2 linked regions of the Tribolium castaneum genome follow. The protein of the gene in region 2 purifies or fractionates together with the protein of the main gene of each other region. This does not show direct contact. Links are inferred from orthologs where the notes say so. Each region holds a gene or a part of one and is shown on either strand. Other genes may lie near its edges.

Region 1 (4,099 bases), on a different chromosome or scaffold from region 2:
TTCAATTTTTAAAATGCGTTTCAACCTAAAAATTTTCGTAAAATATTTCGTCAAATAATGATTAGGTAAAGACGTAAAGACGGCGGCAAATTACAAAAGCAACTTTAACAAACGTTAAATTTGTCAGTTTTTTGAATTGCACAAAATTAAGAAAGTGTTCATTTTTTCTTCTAATTCATTATCTTCTTCCGAACTGCGAAGACAAAAAATTTATAGAAAAAGAAAAATTATTTTGAAATTGTTAGTGATGTAAATTTCTTCGATCAGTTTCGTTTAACCAAGCCAACCATTTACGCTCGTTTGAAAAATGTTGAATAGATTACGTTCTAACAAGTAAAAGTCTCAAAATTGACGCCTGTGCTATGGCAGTTTGATTTAGGGTATTAATACAAATCGAAAGTTAAGAGTAAAAAATTTTCCAATTGTTCGTTTTAGAGTTATTGATAAAAATGTAAATAATAAGCTTTAGCTGTCTTTCCAATTATTTGTGCAACATAATTGATTAGTTGATGTTAGCGATATTAAAATTCTTTGAATAACTGTGTCTAGTAAAGAGTATTATTAATTTCCTTCGTTTTTGTATGTGTTAAATGATAAGATACCACTTTATTAGTGTATTCGAAATTTTGACGATATGTTAAAAGCTCGGTTATAAGTAAGATGTTTGTATGATGGCAATGCCACTGCTGAGACTAGGGCCTACACGGAAAAGTTTCCAAATCGCATTATAGCATACTTTGTGACAACAAATTTGGTAAATTCGCTTTTAATAAAATTTAATGTACAAATTTTAAATTTTAGATACTTATCAATAACTCGATAACGAAGGACAATTGGACAATTTTTCACTCTTAACTTTCGATTTGTTTTAGTCTTCTGAAGCAAATCCTAAAAGCATGGGCGTCAATTTTGAGTATATATAGGGTATATACTTATAGTTCTCACATTACTTGCTATGTCAACCGCAAACCAACAAAAACTTACCCCACAATTGCAGTTATTATTTTGATCATTGTTGTTTACAAGAAGGAATCCTAAAAGATAATGAGCCTCTTGCAGGTACTAAGAAGATGCCCAAAATAATTGATGCGGTTTTGTGGAAGTTTTCATTGGTTTATGGTATAGACATAGCCAGTTACGCAGAACTATACACAACATCAAAAATAAAAATATTTTCGTCAACACTATAACTATTTCATAAACTTCATCAACAGCAGCAAGCTGAAGACGAAAGGAACCATTATCGTTGATTTTTTTGCGTACTAATGATAATGTGGATTTAGCACAATTATCTGGCGGACTAAATACTAACAAAAAATAGTTATTAACATCAACTGCATTAAAGTTTGAAATATCAATGTCATTTCTTTACGTAAAGTAATCTTATATATGCGTTCCAAAATCAACTATCTCCGCGTTGTTTTTTGGAGTTATGTGTTTGCCTTAAAAGACTTAAAACTTTAGCCACATGTTATTTCAGCAAATACGTAGTTTGAGTTTTTTTATTCCATTTCACTATCTAGTCTTAAAAAAAGGATTTTTAAAAGACATTTTGTTCCATAACCGCCCATCTCCTCTCCAACTTGTTCCAAAACTTGCCACCTCCAACCTTAAAAAAAATGCAGGCTTTAAATTCAAACATTGTAATTAAAGTATAGGTCATCGAATTCTACTCTCTAAGAGGTTTTATATCAGTGTAATTTAAAATTTATTTGTTCAACAGCATTTGTATTAAACATTAAACAAAAATACTGAATAGAGACGGCAGGTTTTGGAACTAGACGACTCATTTTACAGCGTTCAATTTTATTAAAACTTCACGCTGTAAAATTATACCTACCGCACGTATAATGTAAATAACTATTTTGGTATCATTTAAAAGAAAGTTGCCAATACCTTTAAGTTGGCACCATTTTTGGCGTTTGCCAACATAAATAAAAAAAAAATAGGTACCTTCTTCATCGCCAGCTACCACCAAATGCCTCTGTGTAGGGTGGTTTTGGAGACACAATGGCGAGATTTGATCCCCACTCAACATGAAAGTGGTCGCGGGTTGGCTTTTAGGGGCCCGAATATCGAAAATCTTCAATTGTCCACGAAAATTACCGGTCAAAATTTCGCTATGCTTCAGAAAAGCCACACAACGAATTGAGCAACTATCGGCGTTTTCAATTGTGCGGATAACGTTTTGGTTTTGGGCATTTAACAAATTGATAGAACCGTCTTCGCCAACGCTCACAATATCGTTGTCGTAGGTGCAAAAGGCAGTGCAAGGGCAATTCTCCCCATTGGGAAATTTGTGAACTCCCTCCCAGTAAATTTTTCTCTCAATTAAGGGATCAATTCCATGTTCGGAAGTAATCTTCAGCAGACTGACGCAGCCCGACGACGAAGAAGCAACGAAAAAATCGCCGTTTAAGAACTAAAAAATGACAAAAATTGTTTCACTCGCTACGTGGCTCGTATCGCAATACTGATTGTAATATACATACTTTAACTTCAGTTATGTCCCCGTTGTGTGGAAATTCAGCCACCAGAAATGGATAAACTTCGGCATCTTCTTCATTTTCTTGGAAATCCCAAAGTTTGATGCTGTTTTGGTCATTGTCCCAACTGCCGGTTACAAAATAATGCGAGGCATTCATAAAATCGGGCCTCCAACGGATTTTATTAACTTTTTCAGAAACAAATGTTCCATGAATGTTGTGGGCCATATTTTGTGTATAATTAAGCCCATAAAAATTAAAAAAGTGGCGCTATAACCTCACTGTGTCGTTGAAAGCATAATTGAATAATTGTCAGGCAACCCACTATACGTGCGGTGGAGTATACTCCGTATCAAATCTATAAGACAAATTGCTTAACGACTCTACATTTTTTTAAGCCAGAAGTACGTTATAAGAATACATGATTAATGTTTAGAAAATATTGTTACGGCTGAACTGTAATAAGTTTATGTTTAAAAATAAAATAACTATTTAAAACAGATTTTTTTATGTGGGGGGTTTATTTTATAGAAACGGAAGTAGGTGTACGTTCATGGCAACCTGTTCACTGACAGTAATGTTTTCCACTAGATGTCAGTCATGAAATTTCAACAACAGAACTGGCCTTTATAAAGCCCCCCTACATGAAAGGCAATTAGACGAATTTAGTAATAAATACAAAATAAAGTATGTGATAAGCTCTCCCAAAGCCAAGAAATGGAACAGGTCAGTAAAACTAAAACAATTTACAACTTTTTTAACCTAGAAATTTTTCAGATTGATAAAAAAATCGAAGACGAAAATGATTAAACAGCTGTTGCCTGAGGAAGACACTAAGCCAGTTTAGTGTTGTAGCAGCCCCTTGAGGAGCACAAATGTCGTGATTATTCCTTTGAGACGAACCAGTTTCTACATTTAAAGGGACACCATTGAATAAGATACACTATACACACATTAAACATGTGCCTTTGAATCAAATGTGTGATTCCATTCACAGCTTGCGTTAGTTGCAATTTAGAGACGTTTTTTGTATTAGTGTTTCTAAAACTTGCTATTAGTAACAGACATGGTTATTTCAGTACTGTAAACAATATATATTTAAATGTCGCGAATGTTCATATGATGCAAAAAATAAAGCCGGCGATTTAAAAGATCACACACTGCACCACCATATACTTTCAACCTCATTAAATGTCTGTTGCACAGACTATTTTCAAGACGCTGTTTAAAAACATGTTTTTAGAACATTACATATCAGAACAGGTTTAAATGTTTCACTTAACTTTATAGAATAATTTGGTGAAACGTAAGGCCCTTATTGTATGTCACAAATCTCATTTTAAAACCAATAATAATATTAAATAGTTATTTTGTATTATCTTCCAAGCAGAGTAGTTAAGATTGACTAAAGTAATATTTTATAACAGTGCAGTTGACGACAGAAAATGATTCGCAAGTTAGGGTTTCTTTGGGCTTGCTTCAGCTTAGGCCCCATGTCTGCTCATGGTAACATCTGTTCTGAAAAGTGAGACGAAGTGAGCAATAAACATCTTTTTTACTGCAGACTAATCATTTTCTGGCCCCATTGCATTGTTGTCATGAAATATTACTTT
Region 2 (4,225 bases):
GGAAACAAGATTTTTTTAATTGTTTTATTTTTGTAAAAAGCACGCGTCAGCGGTTGCTCGCGTTAAACGCGCATTTTTCTCATTCGTTTATCGATTAAGAATTTGTAGCAAATTGAGTCATAACATAAGTGAATTTCCTCGAAAAGTGCGCGGATTTTCGTTGACCGATGACGAATCGGTCATTTTTATGCAGCCCCCAATTCATCGCGTCAACAAAATGGGTTCCGCGAGTTTATATTTTTCTGCACATATTGCACTTGTTCCTTTTCATTAAAATGTTGGTTTGAAGAGAAATAGAAGGTCGCGTGACGTTCTAGCGTCTGTATAAATAATCCGCAGTGCACACTTCAAAAGGTCAATTTCCAGGATTGGTCATGAAAATTACAAGTTTCCTCGTTGTTGCAGGTGAGATTTTTGTTTGTAGGTCATGGTTGGCTTGGAAAATGTGACACATGGGTTCGTTTGTTTTGACCCAAGCCCACTCGAAATTACGCAATATTTGACCGAAACTTTTCAGGGCTTGTTTTGGCGAGTGTGGCGGGCCAGCAGGGGAACTCCTCTGACAAAATCTCCAGGTTTATCTATGATAGGTGTCGGGTTTATAGCACAGACGCTTCGGCTTACGATGATATAAAGACCCATTTGGGGCAATTTGGCGATTATCTTTCGTACGCTGCGAGTTTATTGCCCAATGGTAAGGAGCAGTTCTGCAACGACGAAAGGCCCACACTGGCCCGTCTAGCCGCCCAGCTTGCCCATGATGTCAAACCGTGTTTGCCCAAAGACGAGAAGTATTTGCCCAAGTTCATGGTTGAAAGCTTCACCTCATTTCTCGACTTTGTGTGTTCCCAAAGAACCATCGAAAGTAAGATTTAAAATTTTGAAAACTATTTTTTATCAAGGAAAATACAGATTTCTTCAGTACCCAAGGGGCAGATTGCCGCCAAAACTTGAAACTCAACCAAGAGGGGCAACAAGTTGGAAACTGCTTTACTAAACTATTCGCTCGGTTTAGCGACGTGGTCCGGAAAGACGACCTGTGCCTGTAGGTGCCCCCATGATTACAAACCCAACTTTTTCATCTTTCTTCTGATTCTAGTGACTTAAAAGCGTCCAAGAAGTGCTTCAGTGAGGCGATAGCCCGTAGTTGTCCCGATTTCGCCGCTTTTGAGTCGTTAAACAACCGATTTTTCCAAGCAATTCGCAAACCCTGTAACTCAGCTATTTCCATTGGCTTCAGCAGCGTTCTACTCCTCCTAGCATCATTCACTTCAACCAAGCTATTCTCATAGTTATTATATTATCCCTCCACGTATTATAAATGTTATTTTTGTTATAAATGTACGATAAATAAATAAATAAGTAGAATTTTGTCTTATTTTCTGACCCCGCGCCCTCTGGTGGCGAGTTAACCTGAGTTTGAAAATTATCTAACCGCCACTCGCCGACCTTGATTTTTTGTTTCCGTAAACCTAACCTAACTTTTGCACAAAAAACCGTTAAAACGGGCTAAAACCATGCAAGAAATCGCGTTGGGGTACCGGGAGGTGATCCCCGACCAGACGGTGTCCGATCCCTGGCGCGAAATCACCCTCAACACGGGTAATATCACAAAAATCGCCGATTACGTAAAACTGAGGTTATGTAACAGGGGGGACACAAGGGACGCTTCAAGATATCAAAGTCGCGGAAAGGGCCAACGGGTTTTGTTACCGCGACTCGACCAGACACCACACCAGGAATCGGTTTATCTACTGGAGGATTAGCCACGATGTCCTGGAGCTCGTGGAGCACAGTCTCGATATAAATCTCGCCGGAAATCGCATCAGATACAAATTTGTGGACACCCCGATTTTGGACGGGGTTTCCATCCATGAGACGTACGATAATGTGGTGGTTCTGGTGCCCACGGTGTGCAGCGTCCATAGGTTGGTGTTTCCGCATCCGGATAAGTACCACCGGCAGGACCATGTCGCGGGGGTTCACCCAGATCTGGCGGCGCCGTCGGTGTTCAGCGAAGCTACGGCCAACGAGGCGAGGGATCCCGCCACATTCCACTTTTTCACCAATTCGAGTAGGTCTTGTAATTTTTTAAGTCACGAGCCGGAGACGAGTGTCGTAACGAGCAAATCATAATTTTTTTTAAATAGGTTTGCCAAATGGCAAAATTAGATACGTTTGCATGATTATTTAAAATATTGGACTTCTCATGACTAGATGAACCCTTATTTAAAGGTTCTCAGCTGCCATATCTGGCCGCCTCTTCCCTGACCCTCGCTGAGGAGGAAGCAATTTTCGTGTTGGCCTACCACTCCGGCGAGATCCTCCTTCTGAGACAGTCCCCCGAGGGCAAAATCGACTCAGCTGAGCTAAAAAGCGAGTCAATCGTGCCCCGCTTTCTCTCAGGTCTCGCCGACAAGCTGCGGTACAACCCTTCATTTTTTCCGGCCCGGAAAACTGACGGTTTTTTTGCAGCCAAAAAGACAAAGAAGGCGACACTACCGTCAGCCTCATTTTACATACTTTCGGTCTTGAAACTTTCGCTTTGACACTTTGCCGCAACGGTCATTTGAAATTCTGGTCGTGCTCAAAGGCCGAATGTGTCTCAGTGATCGACGTCATGGCCGAAACCGGCGCCAGAAACCAGCTGCAAGGCGCTCAGAACCACATCCTGCGGAAAGCCGTCGATGGGTTTGATTCTGAGTGTCTGTTGGGTATTTTCATGAGTTTCGCAGCCAAGAGTCAGTTGCATGTGTTCAAGCCGATGCTCAGTGGCTCGCAGGTTCGGCTAGTGAGGCTTAATATACTTGATTTGGCTCAGGTGAGTCGTAGGTGGGATAAGTGATAGGGGGTAAGTTTGGGGTTTTAGACCGATTTGATCGATTTTACGATCTCGACAAGTCGGATTTGGTCGGTTTGGCGCGGAAAAGAGGGCCAATGTGAGGTGTATTCGGCCTCGAACCAGGCGGGGAGTCACTGGATTCCCGTGGTTCTGGAAAATGTGCCAGACGCCAGCCAACCGTTGAGCATCGACGGGGAGACGGATCCCAGGCAGAGCTACCTCCAGCACATCTTCCACCCGGGCAGGTTCCCCTTGCATATAATCAGCAAGGCTTTGAACGTAAGTTTTCAAGTCAAGCTGATTTTTTTACTGTATTTTTCGAAAATGTGCCATTTGTTTTTCTCTAAACCTCTTAGTTTCTTATTTGGTTGAGGCACAATTAATGTGACTCCTGGCGACCCGACAAAATAACAAATTGTTGCTTTTCAAACCTTTTATTTAAAAAATATACATAAAAATTATTGCGCGTTTTTTGTCACACCAACTGCTTATTATAGATTTACAAACGCTCGGCCGTCATCAGCGACTTGAACCTCTCGGCGGCCCATCTCAAGCAGCAGATCTGCATGGCCGTCGAAGACGAGGTCCAAAACGAGCTGAAGGAAACCGTCGTCAGCGACGAAGATTATCTCGAAACCGCCAGCTACTGCTGGCAACAATTCTACTCCTGTTGCGTCCAATACCACGTCGCTGGACTTAAACCTTTAGGCCTCCTTGTTCTTCCAAACTCCTCCGGGGCCGTACTTTTGAAAAAATCCATGATTTCGTTTTTGCGACCTCTCGATATTTTTGAACATTTCATCTACGAAAGCGACCACATGTTTAGGGACCAATTCACCAAATATTTCCTCTTGTCTGAGAGTAATTAAACCGCACAGTTAATTAATCAATTGTGATTGGTTCATTTTTTGCAGATGTTGATATCACAGACGACGTGATCAGTTTGTTCAAGGTCATTAATTATTTGGATTCGCAGATGAGTGAGATTTTCGCGTACACGTTCGAACGAGAGTTGGCACTGCTGAAGTCGCCTGATGTCGTCATGGGGGCTCTCCTTGAGCAGATCCAGCGCGAGATGGACACCGAGGTTCGTACTTTTTTTATGTTAAAAAAATATTCTGGGGCTTTTGAGCCCTAAAAAACGTTTTACAATTTATTATCTGGTACTTTTACCGTGGCGCCTGGCGAACCATTCTTATATTTATATCACAGAAAATTTTAATGACAGCTGCTTCTGTTGATATCTGCTCAAATCATTTACGGAAAACTCTTGAAGAATTTTAAAATTATTTAAAGCACTGCAATTTATTGTAGTTTTTGAGCTTTCGCGTATTTTTTCGATCTCGCGTAAATAGTTAAGCAAAAACCGCCCGATTTGTGCTC

What was found.
Region 1: the proteins of Nup160 (region 2) and Nup43 purify together in Homo sapiens (affinity purification with mass spectrometry; 5 studies listed by BioGRID and IntAct, counting the BioPlex papers as one, with this or other methods). This does not show direct contact. The link is inferred for Tribolium castaneum from reciprocal best matches to the Homo sapiens genes NUP160 and NUP43.

Annotation. Positions count from the first base shown.
Region 1 is NC_087398.1:14,041,663-14,045,761, forward strand, and holds the start of Nup43 (nucleoporin Nup43), read right to left. Parts: upstream 2,817-4,099; 5' UTR 2,715-2,816; coding exon 2,493-2,714; intron 2,423-2,492; coding exon 1,954-2,422; intron 1-1,953. UniProt on the Homo sapiens protein: Component of the Nup107-160 subcomplex of the nuclear pore complex (NPC). The Nup107-160 subcomplex is required for the assembly of a functional NPC.
Region 2 is NC_087395.1:25,114,006-25,118,230, reverse strand, and holds the start of Nup160 (nuclear pore complex protein Nup160 homolog), read left to right. Parts: upstream 1-1,421; 5' UTR 1,422-1,517; coding exon 1,518-1,602; intron 1,603-1,651; coding exon 1,652-2,074; intron 2,075-2,235; coding exon 2,236-2,425; intron 2,426-2,475; coding exon 2,476-2,821; intron 2,822-2,869; coding exon 2,870-3,121; intron 3,122-3,339; coding exon 3,340-3,703; intron 3,704-3,756; coding exon 3,757-3,929; intron 3,930-4,225. Other genes in the region: uncharacterized protein LOC655733, read left to right, coding at 375-405, 518-865, 913-1,045, 1,100-1,292. UniProt on the Homo sapiens protein: Functions as a component of the nuclear pore complex (NPC). Involved in poly(A)+ RNA transport.